Arabidopsis thaliana: one gene and its partner. The protein of the gene in region 1 interacts with the protein of each later gene in a pairwise test. Each region holds a gene or a part of one and is shown on either strand. Other genes may lie near its edges. The genes, in order: GPX2 and DJ1A.

Evidence for each region.
Region 2: the proteins of GPX2 (region 1) and DJ1A interact in a protein complementation assay, tested with the Arabidopsis thaliana proteins (one study listed by BioGRID).

What each region holds. Positions count from the first base shown.
Region 1 is NC_003071.7:13,435,325-13,445,090, forward strand, and holds GPX2 (glutathione peroxidase 2), read right to left. Parts: upstream 4,600-9,766; 5' UTR 4,452-4,599; coding exon 4,407-4,451; exon of another isoform or gene 4,157-4,406; coding exon 4,080-4,156; intron 3,655-4,079; coding exon 3,593-3,654; intron 3,486-3,592; coding exon 3,367-3,485; intron 3,180-3,366; coding exon 3,012-3,179; intron 2,926-3,011; coding exon 2,887-2,925; 3' UTR 2,650-2,886; downstream 1-2,649. Other genes in the region: AT2G31560 (signal transducer/transcription protein, putative (DUF1685)), read left to right, coding at 1,287-1,815, 1,909-1,988; AT2G31580 (tRNAHis guanylyltransferase), read right to left, coding at 5,813-5,932, 6,228-6,335, 6,428-6,513, 6,614-6,783, 6,869-6,913, 6,987-7,118, 7,391-7,647, 8,017-8,124 and 5 more. UniProt on the Arabidopsis thaliana protein: May constitute a glutathione peroxidase-like protective system against oxidative stresses.
Region 2 is NC_003074.8:5,042,267-5,052,589, reverse strand, and holds DJ1A (Class I glutamine amidotransferase-like superfamily protein), read right to left. Parts: upstream 5,215-10,323; 5' UTR 5,081-5,214; coding exon 5,060-5,080; exon of another isoform or gene 5,058-5,059; intron 5,002-5,057; exon of another isoform or gene 4,956-5,001; coding exon 4,755-4,955; intron 4,481-4,754; coding exon 4,331-4,480; intron 4,237-4,330; coding exon 4,051-4,236; intron 3,960-4,050; coding exon 3,879-3,959; intron 3,713-3,878; coding exon 3,512-3,712; intron 3,397-3,511; coding exon 3,256-3,396; intron 3,167-3,255; coding exon 2,969-3,166; 3' UTR 2,619-2,968; downstream 1-2,618. Other genes in the region: RIP1 (cobalt ion binding protein), read right to left, coding at 469-1,103, 1,462-1,527, 1,612-1,709, 1,881-2,269; AT3G14981 (uncharacterized protein), read right to left, coding at 7,262-7,480; ROS4 (Acyl-CoA N-acyltransferase with RING/FYVE/PHD-type zinc finger protein), read left to right, coding at 7,779-10,046, 10,273-10,323. UniProt on the Arabidopsis thaliana protein: Involved in oxidative stress response. Confers protection against diverse stresses by binding both CSD1 and GPX2 and mediating the cytosolic activation of the Cu-Zn-dependent superoxide dismutase activity of CSD1.

The DNA of each region.
Region 1 (9,766 bases):
TGGATGAAGTCAAGAGCTTTGAACCTTATAGTCTAAATAAAGATTTTGTTAAGATATTGATGAGCTTTTCACAAAACTGAAAAACAATGTGGTCAAAAGAAAATAAATTTCGTTGGTCGAGCAAAGGAAAATAGAAAAGCAAACGTTTTTGTTTAGCGTTTAAGAATTGATAATGTGAAAAAACAAATCGATAAAGAAACAAACAAATTAAACCAACATATCTTGATTCCAACTGAACTCCAATTCTGAATTCTGGTTTAAGAAAATGACCTAAACTTAAGCTGAGAGTGTTTTGTCGTTTTCTTGCTAACAAGTCATATTAAGATTGCTATATTTATTAAAATTTAACATTAACCCAAAAGAAAAAAAGATTAACATGTTTATAAATACCTGAACCACAAAAAAAAACTAATAAATTCTGTTCTTTCATATGATATGGATAACATTTAACAACATACTATAACATGTTCCAGCATGAGATACTTAACTTACTAAACACGAATCTAGAGACAGTTAGAACAAGTGTCTAGAAAAATAATTTATACCAATATCTGAAACCAAAATCAAACTCTCTGAAGTAGGCCATACTTCTTCTGTTCGTGTGGCCAGCGGCGACTCCGTGCATAGTTTTCTTTAGATAAATCCAATATTGATAAGTTGAAAAAAAAACAATTTGAAAATTTACACTTTTTAAGTTTTTATAAATTAATGGGACGATTTTAACATTTCTTGATGACCAATGACAACATTGCTTGATGTTGTAAACAATGTTATGAAGAAGATGTCAACTTCATGTCTTCTCAGGTCGCAATTCAATTTTATATCATGTAAATAAATGGGATTACTAGTGATCTCTTCTGCAATACACTTTTTAATATCAGAATATAATTTCTCATGTTCATTTGAATACACTTTGTTTTCTCCTTCCAATTAAGTAGTATACAAATTTTCACAACAATACTTTATGTTTCTCGATGTGATTCAATGTTTATGCAACATTATTATTAGTAAAATAGATGTCCATAAATTAAATAGAAGTTGAAACTTGAAAGACAAACCGAGACGAATCCCAAAATGGAAACCCAATGTTTCTCGAACACACGTTTCATGGAATCATTGATTCGTTTGCATATGGCCCCACAACAAAGATGGCATATATGCAATAATTGATGCTTCTACGTCGCCACTTTTCTAAGAAAGAAACCATCTCCTTTATATAATAATCTTTCCTCACCACTCAATATGTTATATCCGATAACAAAAAACAATCACAGAGAGAAAAACCAATGGCTTGTATTCACATCGAATCATCACATCCACCTGCATGGAAGACACACTCTGTCCAAGAGAACAAACCAGCAAATGCTGATGATATATCGAACACAACCTTACCAGAACACCACGACGGTGGCGACGGGGGAATCCAAGAAACGTGGGCCGCGATTGGAGATTCTGGCGGCAGAGGAGGAGGCTATTTCGCCGGAGAGAGTAGGAAGAAGCTGGAGAAGAAGAAGAGCCAAGTGTTGCTTGAGGGATACGCGTTGGATGATCAAGATGATTTGACGAGAGCCAAGAGTTTGACGGATGATGATCTTGAGGAGCTTAAAGGTTGTTTAGATCTAGGGTTTGGTTTTAGTTACGATGAGATCCCTGAGCTTTGCAACACTTTGCCTGCGTTAGAGCTTTGTTACTCCATGAGCCAGAAGTTCTTAGATGATAAGCAACAAAACCACCACAAGTCCCAGGAGGAAGATGATTCGTCGCCACCACCGACCACGACCGCTCCAATTGCAAATTGGAAGATCTCTAGCCCTGGTAAATCTCTAAATCTGAGATAGATTTGAGTCTTGTGATTATGAAGAACATTTTCTTGACTTGAATGTTTGATTGTTGCAATTTTTGATTCAGGTGATGATCCAGATGATGTAAAAGCTAGACTCAAATATTGGGCACAAACTGTTGCTTGCACCGTACGGTTGTGCAGCTGAACTAGAATCGATTTTCATCTTTGAACCAGAGAAAGACCGTCTTTGCAAGAATGAAGTCTCTGCCATTGTTCGCTGAGAATAGACCTGCAAATGTGTCTGTGGATAAACTGGTTTGGCTTTTACTTTAAAATTCTATGTATGTTATGTGTTGTAGTAATCTTAAGTCTTTATGATTTTAATTGTGTCAAGTGAATAAAAAAACTTCAAATTCTTTGTCTACAGTTCTCCTGACTGTTGTGATTGAGTGCAATGTGGTTGCTTAACATATGACATCTGAATTAGGGTTCTTGTCCTCTCATATGCAGTGATGAGATTTAGACACAGAAATCAATCTCCAACTGTTTTTTTGAAGACCTCTGTTTTTGGCTGAGGTAATTGATCTAACTGTTCATGTTTTGATATCTTCTGTTCTTTCATGATCTTCATCTTGTTTTTGTATCATTGGTAATTAGGCTTATATGATGAGGTTTTGCTTCAATCACAAGATGTCAACAAAGAAAGCACATGACCCTTCTTTTATGTTCTTTTACATGTGATTCTTATCTTTTTGTCCCGTGGCTAGGAAAGAATCAGAAACTTTTTGTGGTCATAAGTTGTGAACACACTTAAACGTGTCGTGTACGATAGGGCAAAAATCCTTTCACATGTTCTTTTTACGTATACAAATGTCTAATAATGACCCAATAGAATTTATTACTCAACTTTTTATGATTTGAGGTTTGTTTGAACGAGAGTCACATGATAATATATGATATATCATCCCATGAAAAGACATCGAATACATCAATTATTTAAAACAAGAATGATAGAATTCAAAGAAAATAAGTTTGCAATGTTGATGATTCTAAGATCATAATTTGGACCAAACGAAAGTTCTTGAAACTTCTTCTTCTGGTGATTAAGAAGAGGCCTGTCCCAACGCAGTTTGAATGTCCTTCTGCATAAACCGAATAACAAACCGTAATAAGATGGTTGTGTATGGATGGATTCCGGTTTAGGTGAAAACCAGGATGGTATACGTACCTCGAATTGAAGAGGAGAGGTTCTGGGAGAATATCTCTGTAAGACCTTGCCATCAGGAGAAACCAAGAATTTGGTGAAGTTCCATTTGATAGCATCAATGAGCAAACCTCCTTTCTCTGCTTTCAAGTACTTGTATAATGGTGCCGTGTTCTTACCGTTCACATCCACCTACATTGCCGTCAACATTTCCGTCAACTATTTATATATACTATTTTTCTTTCCCTATTAGACAATCATCATTCCTCATTAAGTTACTTACAGAAAGTCACATATCCTTAATGTTGTAAAGATCAGTCACTAGTAAAACATTTAACCAATGAAAGAGAGAAGTGTAATAAAAAGAAAAATGAACTACCTTGTCAAAGATGGGGAATTCAGCTTTGAACCTGGTGCAGACAGTTTGTTGAATCTCTTCATTGTTTCCTGGTTCTTGTCCTAAGAACTGATTACACGGGAATGCTAATATCTCCAACCCTATTCTCATTTTTTACATTTATTTAGTTATAGTGACAAGAATTAAAATCCTAACTAAAACCAGGTTTAGTTTTGTGGGAGCTAGCTATAGTATATAAATCAAAGACCTTGCTCCTTGTATTTCTCGTACAGAACATTCAGTTCCTTGTAGTTCGCATCCGTCAGACCACTGCAAGTTAATCAGGAAGTTTAGTTTTGATTTCATCTATTTGATTGACTTTAAGCAAAATCTTAAATTTGAACAAACGAAGACCAATATTACTCGAAATCTCTGTTTATATTTTAACAAACCTATGTTGCGGTTAAGAAAAAAGGACAAGTACTAATCAAACCAAACTGAACCGGATTGAACAAGTACTAATTTCACAAGATCCTTGCAATTATATTTTTTAATCTGGTAGATCACAAATACTTTTTTTTACAGATATCAATGAGCATACAAGCCATACAACCAATACTTAAAGTTGAACATAATAATCCAAAAAGTGAAATCAAACGTTGCTTCCTTTCTTAGATCACAAATACTATCTTGTACAATTAGGCAATGAATTCTAACCAACAAAAAAATGAAAAACAGTGAAAAGGGATTTTTACCATTTGGAAGCAACGTTTACAACCAAAAGAGTTTTGCCTTTGTATTGGTCCAAACTCACATCGTTACCTCCGATATCCTGCCATGTTCATGAATAAAATATAAACACACATAATATGTTTTCTTTTTATAACAAACCTTGAAATTGTTCATCTATATTCTTTTGCCTGAGATCGAACATTAGAAATTCCGGTATCGTAATTTCGGATCAAAACAAAATCTCTTTCTGTTTATGTGTATTAAGAATCTAAGACTAATCATAATAGTTATGAAAAAAAAAACCCTGATAATTTATGAATAAAAGCAAGAAAAACGTTGAGAGGAAAAACCTTGACGGTGAAGTCGTAGATAGACTTTGGAGATTCATCCGCCATTTGCAGTGTCGTTGGTCTCTTTCTGAGTTCTTAGTTATGAACAAAGAAGAGAAGAAATATAAATCTTTTTGTTAACAAATATTTTGTGTGTATATATATGGTTGATAAATGTTATAAGATCAGAATGCTTTAAATGACGAATCTCTTGTGACGAATGGTGGGGTAAGCATCCACGACTTCATATTGATTGCTTACCCTTCTCATTTTTATATTTTTCTTATTTCTGTCTTTCATTGATTAGTTGGTACATGAACTCAATTCCTTATTTAAAATCAAGAAATCTCAAATATATAACTCTTTTTTTTTTTTTCTTTTTTTTTTTGCGTGTTGTGTCGAGTATCAATATTTACACGGAATTTATTTAAATATTAACGTAATTGGAAATAAATTTCACTACAAAAAAAAACATATCAAATTGCCACCTTTCATATTTTCCAAAACGACCACTACAATTGACTTTCATTTTAGATATTAACGATATGATTAATGGAAAAAATCTGTAATAGGATTCGCTGCCAATTATGCTTTCCAATGTTTGACCTGATTTTTCTTAATTATAGCTTGTTCAAAAAGCAAGAAAATTATAGGAAAACATCTAGAATTTATAGATACTGATTTACTGCAAGTTGTCACGTAAAAAATAGTATTTTATCAAAATATCATTGGGTTTTTGGTTCTCAGACTTGAGACCCAAATCAAGAAAGTTATTATATTTACTAGATTCAGTTATATTTCCCTGTTAAATTGATATACTTAAAAGTAATAAATCAATCAATGTGTGGCAAACAAACAAAAAAGTATACTTTTGCTCGGTTGAATAATTTAAAAGTTATATACAAATTTTTCACCAAATATATACAAGTACATAAAGTCGGAATTTAAAATGGAATGAGAACAAAAACATATCTCAGAATCTAACCACCGGACCTGAAAATTTTAGTCTATAGGTCTTATCAAGTAGTTGGACCGACTTAATAGACATTTGAATTACTAGTACTATTCAACAACATGATAGAAAATTATTAATAATACTGGTCTCTAGTGATTATACATTAACAAAATAAATGGAGAGGATAAAGTTACTTTTACGTAACGCAAGAGAAGTTAGCAGTTGGTCGGTGCACAGGTATGGTGTGAATTTAATGTTTTACATATCTATCTATCTCCCTTCTCTCGTCTTCCACAAATGTATTTAACATACAAAACCAATAACTTTTCTAAAATCTTAACAATGGTTGACATACATGTGAAAAACTAAGGTATAACACATGTTGAAAAGAAGTAAAGCTGTGCTAATTGGAGATTAAGAATTTGCAATAAATTAGTCTTACAAGTGAAGTAAAATACTAAAATGCAGCTGTTTATGAGTAGCTAAGAATGTGTAGGTGTTCTTCCCAGAAACAGCGTTCGATGATGTTGCAATGATCCACGACCACTTCTCCTTCCAGTTTCTTCCCTGAAACTACTCCATTCTCAGCTTCCTGAAAAAGAATATTCAGACAGCTCTACAAATATCAAGTTCTGCAACGGAAGAAGATCTTCACGACTGCTTGATGAGTTTGATAGAAACAGTAAGAAACCTCGGCAGGTAGTTACATTTCAGGTTTGGTATATGGATTTAGCCATTTACGAGTTAACAGCCAAAGGTTTGAGTAACTTAATTGATTCATACGATACGATAAGAGCAGAACCAGTTTGGCACTTATAAAGTTTCTCAGCCAGTCCACTGTATCATAATCTTTCTATGCATAGATTTAAAGTTAAGGCAATACTAACCTTTAGACGGAAAACCGAAGAACCCATTCGAAAGATTACAGGTAATGAGTTGTACTCAATTCCAAATTGACGGCTAAGCAGCTCATTTTTCTCTCGTGTTTGTGTACCCTGGGAATGTCATTCACAAAGAGTAAGATAAGAACCATTCTAAGCATTGACTACTTGAGAATAATTTTTTTCAATCCATTATAACAAAGTACCTTTAAGTAATCTTGGGATTGAGTTTTGTTTTTTCCAGACTTAACAAGCATCCAGAAACATGTATTGTACTGATTATTGATGTGGCCTGCCAAACGAAAAACAAAGAAAACATAAGACTACTCATCTAAAATTTTGCAAAGATATAGACGATTCCAAATAATTTATCACAGTGTTATTATACTAACAGTCAACTTGTCTCCACGCCAGATAATCCAAGAGAATATTGTATGTTGGATAGCATACAGCTCGTCCATCGAATGATGGAGGGTACTTCAATTCTTTGTGAGGGAAAAATTCTCCCCATTGTAACACATATGTGGATGTAAAGAAGGATGCGACTGCAGATATTATCTTACTGTAATGCAATACTAAGTATTAAGACTAAGGATATCAGGGAGATACGGCCAAAAGTGTAAGGAAAAAGAGAAATTTAGTTTAACCTGGATTGTCTTTTGTAGAGCTCAGATTCTTTCTTCAAAACAAAGCTGTAATCGATGATGAACTTAATTAATATCTAAATTATGTAAAGCTGAGATAAACAGGTTGCGAGATGGACACCTATACTCATCACTGACACCATAGGCAAAGTGAATATCCTCAAACTCCTCGAGAACAGCCACTGCACATGAATTCATAAGTTTCAGAGCTTGCTCATCATTTGGCTTCTCAAATTCATGAACGTCAGAAAATCTATCAAAATCCAAGCAAGCTCCATGAGTCGTAATTTGCAACACAGAAGACTAGTAATCACTAACAAAATGACTTCTTTCTGAAAATGCAAGTTCAGATTCAATAATCAGAATATTCCCTAGACAAATGCAACCACAACAGAACATAATAAAACTGAACAGGCTAGCCTAGCTGAATCCTATGGAGCGCAAGGATTTTACTAGTCTAAGGCTTCAATGCAGTAAAAAGACTGACAAACTTTTACGAAATAAAGGTAAGCTATAGACAATTACCTGTGAAAGTGACAGCCATCAATCCTAACCACGACCCAAGTTAAAGGTAACAATTTGTTCTCAAACTGAAACGACCTAATAAAATCTGGTTCAATTTTTCCAATGTCTTTCGTGAAGTGGCCAAGATCATTATATAGAGAGGGCTGCTCATTCCAAAAGCTTCTTCCTGCAATATTCTCTGAATGTACAAAAACAGCCTTTCTCCTCAATCTTTTTACAGGATTGCCATTTTCGTCATGCTTTACAGTTTCTTCCACCTGAATCAAGTTAAATGAAAGTGTGTTATTGGAAATTTACAATAAGTCTTAGCTACATAGCATCACGCAAATTTATGATGAACATCAAGAAGAGCAGCTAGATACATCAGTTTTAAACCTGAACATCAACTAAGCTGAAGTAATAGTCTTCTACACATTGCTAGATTTTACTAGGGTTCAGACAATTCAAACTTACAAATTACAATGCATAAGCCTAAACGTACATGTGCATCAACAATATTGTCAACAAACTCAGGTTACTAACATTCTTAGAGACTCAACTTAAAACTGGAAGTCTAAATACATACACAACACATAGCAAAGCAAGTGCTCTGTATATAATTTCTAACAAAAGATATAAATTATCACCTTTTTCTTGAAAAGACAAGATCCTTGGCGAAACAATTCAGGAAGCGTCTTGTAATTGATACCAAATTTCTGAAAGAGAAGCTCATTTTTCTGCTGTTTTTGTGTATCCTGCAGGCATCCAATGGAAATAGAAATCGTGTGTTCAAACCATGTAATATCATTACTAAGCGTGAAACTTGGCTTAAGAAGGTAAAGGGCCATTTTGACATCTGTATTAGAAAAAAAAAATTATAGTCGTAGTGCAGACAAAAAAACATTGATCTCTGCCATAGAAAAGCACGAATAACACACCTTTAGAATCTCTTGGGTTTCACTTACGCTCTTTCCACTTTTAACTAACATCCAGAAACAAGTGTCATACTGATTGTTGGCGTGGCCTGCAACCAAAAAATGGGTTTCACTTAATTCACGAAGATATTCACGCCAATAAGTAGAACTAATATCCGGAAAAACAAGAAATCAAGAATAAGTGTCAAGTACAATATTTATGTTGTCAGAATGTCTTACAGTCCTGTTGTCTCCACGCGAGATAAGCCTGAAGAACCTCTGCTGATGCACAACTTACAACTTTTGAACTGAAGGACGGAGCATATAATAATTTTCTTTGGGGAAAAAACTCTTTCCATTTTGTTACATAAACTGCAGCAAAGAAAGAAGCTACCAACGACAAAATCTTACTGCATATAAAAAAAAAAAACAAGAAAGTGAAAAACAATGAGTCAATCAGAGAAGAAAAAACCACATATCATTGAGGAAAAGGTTTTCTTCAAGTAAATTCACTAAAAATATGGAATCAACTTTAATCGAAAAAATACCTGGCTCGTCTCTGGTAGAATCTTGATGTTTTCTTGAATACAAAGCTACAAAAGACATGTAAACATATAAATCTTGTACAAGATACATAGAGGTGAAATAAATAAAGTCAATGGAGTGTATTTAGGACCTGTATTCGTCACTGTATCCATAAGCAAAGATTATGTCAGGAAACTCTTCCAAAACCGCAGCTGAACATGAATTCATCAAATTGAGGGCTGTTTCATCATTAGGCTTCTCAAACTCATGAACTTGAGAAAATCTGTAGTTATCAAACAAAGGTAAGCAGGTGTAAGTAAAATGCCAAAGAAAAAAAACATTCTTTCAGGAACAATGTCAAATCATGCTTCCAAAATCCATCAAAGATGCAGCCTTTAATCATTATTTTCCCTCAATTATTCCAGAGATACTACAATCTACACACCATCACCATTGACATTGGAGTAGTGATAAATTTCATATAGATCATTATATTATACACAATCTGTAAAATTTACCTAGAAAAATCACGACCATCGATTCGAACAACCATCAAGTTAGGAAGCATGACTTCATCCTCCAATTCGAATGATTTCACATACTCGTATTTGCTATTCGCCATATCCCTCAAGGTTTCACGAAAGTTTTCTTCTTTCTTCTTTGCTTCTACGCTATCGACTTTGAAACTACCAGACACAAAAAAAACTGCAATCGAACAGGATATTAAACCGAAAGCTGAGTCGACATTGCTCTGTGAAAGAGAAACCAAACTATATGAGCAAAGACGGTTTACTTCACATAAGGAGATAAAAAAATGGCAGTATTCCTTACCAATACTAGTTCAGGAGCATATAAGATTCTTAATGCAGTACCAATAAAGATCACAATCAATTCAGGAACATATAAAACTTTCCAATAAGATCATTTTCTCAAGTTCAAAAACAATGAATTCTTAGCT
Region 2 (10,323 bases), on another chromosome or scaffold:
CAAATTGTGTGTTCTGTCAAGTTTGTCGAAAGAAATATGATATTGATGACATTTGTCATTCTTCCTGTTATAATATGAGTATCCCATTCCCATGTAAACATGATTGGGGAATTAGAAATTAAGACTAGGAAGAAGCCAAAGAAAGACACAAAACAATAGCCTGTGGGAGACATGTTACTAAATCCCGTTTAATGCAGAACCAGGAGTGGACATAAGAGTAGCAAGCATCACAAGGAAGAACTTGAGATCGATTTAGGATATAAACTACTAAAAAGAAACGCAAGAGTGAAAAGTTCTAACCATGCCACAGTAACTTAGGCTATTCTCTCTCACATAATCCCAGACTGATAAACACTCGAGATAAAAGGAGTTTTAAAGTCTTGCTACTGCACTCTCTCTTCCTCAAATTATCTATACACAGCCCAGAATGCATGATTAAAAAGGAAACCCACGACTGCTTCAACTGCTTTAACCCTGGTAGGGGTTGCCACTGCCATCCCGGTTAGGTGGGTAGTTGTTCTGGTACTGTGGCTGCTGCATTCCACTACCCTGCTGCTGGTAGTTGTTGTTCTGTGGGGGTGCTCCTCCGTATTGAGGTGGTGGTACTGCTCCATATTGAGGTGGTGGTCCTCCTCCATAGTTTGGTGGTGGTGCTCCTCCCATGTTGTTTGCTGGTGGTGCTCCTCCATAGTTGGGAGGTGGTGTTCCTCCATAGTTCTGAGGTGGCCTCGGTCCTCCCATGTTGTTTTGCGGTGGTGCTCCATAAGGTGGTGGATGCCTTGGTCCTCCCATGTTGTTTGGTGGTGGTGGTCCATAGTTCTGCCCCATGTGAGGTGGAGGAGGTGCAGAGCCACCCATATGAGGCGGAGGAGGTGCAGAGCCACCGATGTGCGGAGGAGGAGGAGGGCCTCCCATGGGAGGACGTTGAGGAGGAGGGCCTCCTGCCATGTTCTCTCTTCTCCTCTCAAAGTTTCTGCTTCTATCATTGTTGCGAGGACGGTCATTGCGTCTGTTCCTTTCATTTGCTCTAGCATTGTTCCTTATCCACTCCTCGTGGTACTTAGGATCATAAGGAACAGCCTTCCCATCGATGAAAGGTTCCCCTGAAAGTCAATATATACAAAAACGCATCAAACTAACTCTCTAATAGGATCACCAGAAAGATTTAAACTCTCACCAAAGCAACATCACTGCGACTTCTACAACACCAGTCTCACAATAGATATCACTAAATCAAATCTAACAGATGCACCCACAATGTTAATTAACTATAAATAGAAGTCGCCCCATGTGTCAATCTAACACAAAAGCATGGAGCAAGTAACGAGTCCACAGAGCGAAGACTAGCAACAGGTAGTTTCCCTTGAAAATTTCAAACCCAGCAAAAGTATAATGGACGAGCAAAGCAACTACCCCAATTTCAAACCCAGGTTATGATACAGATAATACACTTAAGCCTACCTCCATAGTCTTTGTTCCTCACATCCAGGTAAGAGTCAGGAAGAACCCAGCGCACATTTGACAACTCTGGAGAGTTACAGAAGAAAGTTAGAAGGCAGATTATAACACAGAAATGAGGAAAACTAAAACCCAACAAAGGCAAGAGTTAACCTTTTAACTTGTGAGAAAGATCTTCTGACACAAGTGCCCCAAAAGCATAGTAGCACCTAGTTGAAACCGAGTAGATCTTCATCCTAGCTTCGTCTTCACTGAAATGTCCAAAACGAGATATATCATGTTACAGCTCCAAAAATGATCTAAGTAAACACACAGATCCGTCATACACAGTAGTGGATTTCTCACTTATTTAACCTAAAATCCCTAGAAGAACATACACAGAGAGAGAGAGAGAGAGAGAGAGTTTTGAATTGGGGATTTACCTGCCAACAATCTGAGCTAGGGTTTTGATGTAGCTATCAATGATTTCATCTCTAGTAGGCTCACCCTGAGGTGGCTCCACGACGACAAGCCAGTGCTCGAAATCGCAACCATCGAGCAGGATCGTCTCCTTAGGTGGCCTGTTCGACCAGTTGGGATTCGGGTCGTTCAGAGAAGACGATGTAGCCTGCGTCGAGAGACCTTTGACAGACACAAGGCCGCCACGGAAAACGGAGGAAAAAGCGGCGACCAGAGGACGGGACCGGCTGAGCAGAGAAGACGCCGGAGATTTGGCGAGAGGAGCAGATGAAGCAAAGGATCGCGTGAACAGAAACGAAAGAGATTTCGCCGGTCGGCAAAGAATGGATCGAGAAATGGTATGCGTCGCCATGGAAGCTCTAGATTGGGCTTCGCAGATAAAACCCTAGGAGAGAGTGTGAAAACAGATGAGCTAGAAATGAAATCAAGGGTTTTATGAGGGTTTAATAGTAGATTATGAGTCGAGGGCATTTTAGGTATTTCATAACTGAACTGGACAGCGAAATCTACGGTACTACCCCCTGATCTTATCAGATTCAACAAAATTGCCCCTATTTTACCTTAAGTTACAAATAAACACATTTTCGCCAAGAAATTAGTGACATTACTCTGTTTTCAAATGATAAAAAAGCTATTTTTATACAAGAAGAGAAGACTGAAGATTTTATTTTCACTAAATTGGTAATAATCATATTATTAAATGGTTTACAAATATGAAATATTCCAAAGCTAAACATAGGGGCAAATTCGTATTTTAGAGTTATTGTAAGGTCAATTTGGTGAAAATGTGTGACTAAAATATCTTTCTCCATAAAATAATTTTTTTCTCCAGCACACCCTCTAGCTCTTGCAGAGGTTTAAAGAAAATATCGGCAACATACATAGAAAAATCTCGTTTATTCATTTATAAAGGCATAAAGTTACACACCAATCACTAAGCCAAGCTCATATGTCATATATCATAAAGTAAGTAATTACTAATGGAGAGAGATAACTAAAAGGCAAAGCCTTCTTTTTATTCAAGCCACTCTCATACTTTCATTGTTTGAAATCACACAAGTGTTGCCTTTCCGAGCTGAAGAGCTTTCTCTCGCCCGTAAAACTTTTCGACAATGGCAAGTGAAAACTCCATTGCAGTCCCTGGAGCTCTGCTTGTTATGACATTTCCATCTACCACGACTCTGTGCTCAATGTGACTCTTGTCCGAAAGTTTGTCGCTCACCACTGGGTGAGTAGTAGCCTTCTTACCCTATACAAAACATGTCTCTTATATCTCAGTTTAATGACTTAAAAGATAGAACAAGAAACTACAATTCTAGTACTGTTTGATTTATGCACCTTGAGTAAACCATTAGGCTCGAAGACGTAAGCAGGCGATGCGCAGATTCCTCCATATGGTTTGTTTGCTTCTGCCTGTTTCCTTAACATATTAACTAGCTTCTCGCAGCTTGCGAATCTTTGAGCACCGTTAAGACCGCCCTGTAGTTCATCAAAGAAGTTGGATTATGTTTTTGGTTATTTGTCATCATAGAATATTAAAATTTAATTTAAGACTAAATAGTATATTCACATTTTGGAAGTTAGCAATACTCACAGGTAACACAATCAGATCAAACGACTTCTCTGCAACCTCATCAAGAAGAACTTCTGCTACTAGCTTAGCTTTGCGAGATCCTTCAACTTCCAAACTGTTACCAACTGCAGCAATCACTACATTTGCTTTTGCCCGCCTCAGGATATCTACAAGCGCTATAGCTTCAATTTCCTCTGACTCCTCTGCAATGGGTACGAGAATCTGAAAAGGGAAAACATTATCTCTCTGACTCATAAAAGACTATTGATCAAGAAAGACAAAAGCTTTACAACACAGCATGTTCCTAGGAATCTGTATAACGGATCAAACAAAGCCTGTCTTGGAAAAATGTTAAAAGGGCCAAGTGGAGAGGCAACTGAACATTTACCTGTGGTGTATCTTCAAATGACCAGTTTGTTTGGTTAAGCTCAGTAAAAGTAAACTCCTCACCAGGGTTAGGACGAAGCAGCTGATTTCAAAAGGATAACAAGTAAGTCTACGAGGAGGTGACATGAACACGTACCACAGCGGTTGATAAAAGAGGCAGAGACAAAACATACCAAGATACTGGAGACTTCATCAGCTTTTTCTTTCCCAAACAACTGCTCTATAAGCGTGATGGAGAATTCAATGGTGGTTCCTGGTCCACGACTGGTCACTATTCTTCCATCAATTTGCACTCTTGACTCAACAGCAGTTGCACAAGTAGCCGCAAGTTTCTCCATAAAAACAGGGTAACCCGTTGCCTGCAAGAAACCCCATGTAATAACAAGACATTACAAGGCCTGAAAAAAAGATAAATAAACGCCCTTGGAAATATACTGATCACTTCTGACTTACTTTCTTGCCTTCTAGTAGACCCCAAGTACCAAGAGCCAAGGCAGGAGCACAACATATAGCTGCGTTAAGTCGGCCATCAGAGTCTTGTTTCTTGACCATGTTCTCTAAAGATTTACAGTTTTTAAGAGTCTCGCCACCGGGAAGCCCTCCCTTTTCCCAATCATATCAAAAAGTATATCAGCAACACAATTATGAAATCTTTCAGAAAACAAGAATCTATGAAGTTGTTTCAGAGAACAAAAGTTGCAACAGATACATCTAAAAACCATCGTTCTTAGTAGGAACTATAAACATCACTTTCGAAACTTTAGTTAAGTGAGCTAATTGATAATTGATCGATCCACTTATTGGCTGTCCTTAGTTCTTAGATTACACACAAAGAAACAAAACAAATGGACAATGTTAAATCAGCAGAGAGACTTACGGGGAGCACAATAAGGTCGAAAACAGAGTCGGTAATATCAGAGAGAAGAGTATCAGCGACCATCTTGATGCCATGACAAGCATCAACGCCAACCTGAGTCTCAACAGACGCCACCGTCACGTCAGCACCACCTCGACGCAACACGGTAATCATCGCCACCGCTTCTAGAGGCTCCGTACCGTGCGCAATAGGGATCAAAACCTAAAAGAGACGCCAAAAAACCTTGGATTAATAATCACAAAAAAAAATCGTTACGTACGAGGAGGGAAAAAAGTATGATCTCGGGATCGTGAAACCCCACACACCGTTTTCGTAAATGAAGCCATAGTTGCGGAGATTAGAGAAACGATGGTCGAGTCAAGAAGAAAGAGAAATGGAGTGTAGTGGAGAAGAAAGGAGTGTCACTAATGGGGTTAAAATAGTAGGAAAGACTCAGTGACGAAGCCATTTACGACTTTCCTTTTTATCACTTTAACCAAAAGAAGATAGACGTGTGCGATGACGTAAGCATAAAGAAAAAGAAACTCGACGATACGTGTCGAACATTCATTGGTGGAACGTGGCGAAAGCTTCTTTTGAGTCTTTCCACGTCATTGTATTGGATAAAATCAGAAAAAGCCACTTTGGTTTCGGTAAACTAAGACGGCGTGAAGTTGGCGAGAAAAAAGTATTACAACAACGACATCACGTCCTGGTTCTTAATTTTGTGGAAGCACGTGTTGTCGTTTTTGATACATGTACTTTGTAGTAGAGTAAACCGGACGAACTTCTGAAGAGATGTTTTGTTAATTTTGTAGCGTTCCAATAATTTATGGGCTTTATATGGGAGTGTTAACCGGTCGAAAAAGTACTCCTACCCTTTCAAATAGCTATTAACGCGAAATTTGAAACTACTAGTTAAACTTAACCAAATATGATCCCATAAATATGATATATATACACGGTAAACTAATTAAGAGACTGTTCAGATGGTTTTTGGATGAATCGGTGTATTCAAATTAACACAAACACACACATTTTTCAAAATGGACAGCCTGAAATCATGATTTTTGTTATGATCTCTAATTTCTAACCCAACATGCAACAAACAATAAATGATCAATACCCATTATCCGGTCCAAAGTGTTTTTAACAAACTTAACGTTTTAGATATAATCCAAGGATGTGTGTCAAAATTCACTTATATTGTAATAGACGAAATTAAACTAGATTAAATCACATGTTTGTGTGTTTTAACCATGTTTGATGGCTTCGTTGGGTCCAACATATTCCATTCACAATTAGGATGAAGAAGAATGTCTCAATACAGAAAGCCAAATATAAAGCAAAACACGTGGCTCATGCATTAGCTTCGCAAGCGAGCCGAATTATTTGTTATTGACTTATGTGGATCAAAATTAGCAAATGAGGTCTACCATCTACCCTTTTAAAAAAGAATCGTTTCTTTTTAACCATAGTTAAACCTTAAAAATGAAAAAAGTATCTAGAATTGATCCCCTCTAAATATTTTTTTTTTTAAAAACAAATACTTTCACATAACACAGTCGTTTTCATCGTACTGGTACATGTACTTTTTGGAATTTTCATATATCAAAATCGAATAAGAAGAAACAAAGATTCAGAGCCGTATTCCTATATATAGTTAATACAAAACATGCAATAACTAATCTGTTCACACAACAAAATAGGTTAAAATACGACTTATGTCCATCATCGCATGCACCTATTTGATAGTACAGTATTTGTTATCGTTAAGACACGTAAAGATTCCCCGCGCAAATTACAAAGCATCCAATCCACTTAACAGATATTGATTATACATATTAAGACAAAACCTGTTACAATCGGTGATGACTGAATTTTAAAGGACAAAAACATAAGCTGAAATGATTTAAAACGACAACAGAAGAACAGTTAGAAACCTGGCAATTAAATATGCTAACCTTTTTTTTCATTTTAGTTTGTCTGTTATTTTTGTCAGAACAGTTTTTGTCTGTGGCGAATTTAGTAAAAAAAAACTTTGTCAAGAACTTAAAACCATAGTCATTAATATTGGCTTATAGTGATACGATCGTCATTAACAGGATTAAGAATTTGATAACAGAAGAAAAAAACGACGAATATTTGGGTTTTAATTTGTGTAATTAAACGAATTTAAGTACTCCATATACTATAACTGCTGGTCCGTTGTTATCAGAGAGGAGACAGAATCTTAAGGTGAAAAATGAAGAATGACTTTTTCAGTATAACGAAGGAAAAATAAAATAAAAACACGAAGATGCCTTTTTGGTGACAGCACACAATTTATAGAAAAGAAAAAAAGAAAAAAAACGAGAAGAGAAAGAAATAGCCAATAATAAGTATACACACACTGTGCACAACAAAGTGATAGAGGCAGATTCAGAGAGGTGAAAAAAAGTTCGTCAGAATTTATCTATCTGATGAATTTTGGTTGAGAGATTTAACACCGAATCAGAGGTGGGTTTCTTCCACAATTATAGAAAAAGCTAAAAAGATAGACAAATTGTTGTTCTTTCTGTGTGTGAGATAGAGATCAAGGAGAGAGAGTGTGTGAGTGCAGAGAACGTGAAATGGAATGAAAATGCGTTTCCCACTTGCGGTTGGAGAGGATAAGGGCGACGAAATGAGTCTATTTCAGTGAGAAGAAGCCATTTCTCCGATTTCACAGCTCTGATTTCATTCTGCATGCTGGTAATGTCCTGCATTTCCCAATTTTTGAGCTTTCTTTTTGGATGTAATTAGTCATTATAACATCTCAATTTCATGAAATCTGGTCTATCGTTTTGCTCTAGGCTTCAAAGTTTTGGCCTTTCTAGAAGGATCTCTGATTTTATCTTGTTTTGAATCCGCTTCCGCTTATGGGTATGTGTTTTGGATTAGGATGTCGAGTTCCAAACTTTTGGGTTCTGTGAGTTTATTCATTACTTTATATAATTGCAGGTATCTATCTACAACCTTCCTTTTAAGTTAAGGTGAAGTGGAATATGCAGTTAGTTTGTGGAGATGCTTCCCGGAGCTGAGATTGAGATGTTAGGAGGTGACTGCTTTGAAGGGTCATATGAGGATCATCAGATATTCAGAGAAGTTTTCTTTGGAAGTGATCCTGGAAATACTACTAAAAGATGTCTCGTTACTGGAGCCATTAACTTCGAATGTGATTCCAGTAAGAATGTCAATTCCTCTCTGAGTTCCAACTCTGTGGTAACTAGTGGATATGCATGTCCACAAGGTTTTGAGGCATCTGCTTCAAGAGATGGTTCAGATTTTAACACTAAAGCTAAGAGAGTGAAGCTTTCAGGTAATAAGCATTTGGATGCAAGGGACGAAAAGGGATCTGCTTTGCATGGTTTTCCAACTTCGGACATAGCTAGAGAGACGATACCTCTCCATTTAGTTGAATCATCTAACAAGGGTGTTTCAACTAGCTCATATTTGTTGAAGCACAGCATAGTAAAGGGAAGAGAAGTTTATCTGGGTGGCATTGTGTCTGGAAAGTGTAAGTCACTAAACTTGGACAAATGCGATGGAAAGGAATTTAAAGCTATTGCCTCTCCTGTTTCTCAGGAGAGCTTCGCAACCAGAATGATCTCTGTAGGTGCTTCTACGCCGCATAGTGAGAAGGCTTGCTTCCCGCTACAGTTGAACAACGGATCTAAAGTATCTCCTAATGAGTTAATTATGTCTAAAACCTGCCTAAAGATTGATCCTAAAGAGGACCCCCGTCCTCTTCTCTACAAGTATGTCTGTAAGGTTCTAACTGCTGCCAGATGGAAAATTGAGAAGCGCGAAAGATCAGCAGGTAGGAAACATGTAGACACATTTTACATATCGCCAGAGGGACGGAAATTTCGTGAATTTGGGTCAGCTTGGAAAGCATTGGGTGGGATCCTATTAGCTGATCGTAAGTTAATGGATACTGGTACTAAGAAATGGACTGGTATTAATGACTTCTGGTCCGATCTCTCTCTTACACTGTTGGACATCGAGGAGAACATGAAAAATTTAAATCTTGCTAACACACGGGCACTTTGGTGGAGTGCCTTAGAGCCTTTTGTGGTTGTTGTCTTCATTTCTAAGCAAGTTGGTTCTTTAAGAAAAGGAAATAAAGTTGAAGTTGCAAGGAATTCAAATCCAGACAAGTTGAAGAAAGAAGATACAATTTGTTTGAACCTGATTTCAGGCTGTCCTGAAAGTGTGCTGACAGTATCTGAAGGCAGTCATCTTGTTCATGACGTGGATGCTAACCAAGAGATACATTCAGATCTTGAGGTGCAAACTAAAATTTCCTCTCAAAAAGTTTCTTCAAGACTAGAGAGGCAGAGCATAATTGGTAAGGAAATCTCTGGGACTCATGAGCAGGAGGCTAGCAAGGGCATTGTAGCTTCAAAATTGATAGCAGAAGACATGCATGAAAGTGTTATGAGAAAGAACTTACACAGAAGATCAAAGAAAATATCCGATATCAAACCAGCTTCCTTGGACCAACATGATTCACTAGATTCTAATTCTCTCAATAGCTTTGAATTCCAGGATAAAGAGATGGGCAACATTCACCTCGTCTCAAAGGGAAGTCGGGATGAAAGGTTGAGGAATGAGAAGATGAATAATTCATGTTGCAATTCAAAGAAAGGAAGAAAGAAAGCTAGGAAGCACTATACTCAAGATGATGACCTTATGGGGTCGACAATAACCAGAAACAAAGGTAAGTTCAGCAGATCAAGCCAGAAAAAGAAAACACAGAAGCCAAAGGCTAGAACAAAGAAAAGAAACAATAGGGGAGGGTGCAGGTTGCTTCCCCGAAGCTCAAGCAATGTGGAAAATCATTTTTTTCAAGGAAATTGGTCTATTTTGGGTCCTAGAACTGTCTTATCATGGTTGATAGCTACCAAAGTAATTTCTAGAGACGAAGTAATCCAGTTACGAGATCCAGATGATGATACTGTGGTAAAAACAGGCCTGGTAACTAAAGATGGAGTGGTTTGTACATGTTGCAACAAGACTGTGTCACTTTCTGAATTCAAGAACCATGCTGGATTTAACCAGAACTGTCCATGTCTGAATCTTTTCATGGGGTCAGGAAAGCCTTTCGCTTCATGTCAGCTGGAAGCTTGGTCTGCTGAGTATAAGGCGCGAAGAAATGGATGGAGATTAGAGAAAGCCTCTGATGATGATCCAAATGATGATTCTTGTGGAGTTTGTGGTGATGGGGGTGAGCTGATCTGCTGTGATAATTGTCCATCTACCTTCCATCAGGCGTGCTTATCAATGCAGGTATTGTCTGACTCATTCCAGGGTATATTTACATTTTAACTATTATTTATCCCGGTAATTAACTCTTTGCAAAACATACACATGGGTGAAACTTCTTGGCTGATTCTGTGATTCTTACTAATTCAACTCTAGTAACTTACACGGCATTAGTATAACTAGGATATTTTACCTTAAATTGGTACCCTCTAAAGAGAGTTGCTGTATTGCTTTTGCTTTTTCTACCCAGGTGCTCCCTGAAGGAAGTTGGTATTGCTCGAGCTGCACATGTTGGATATGC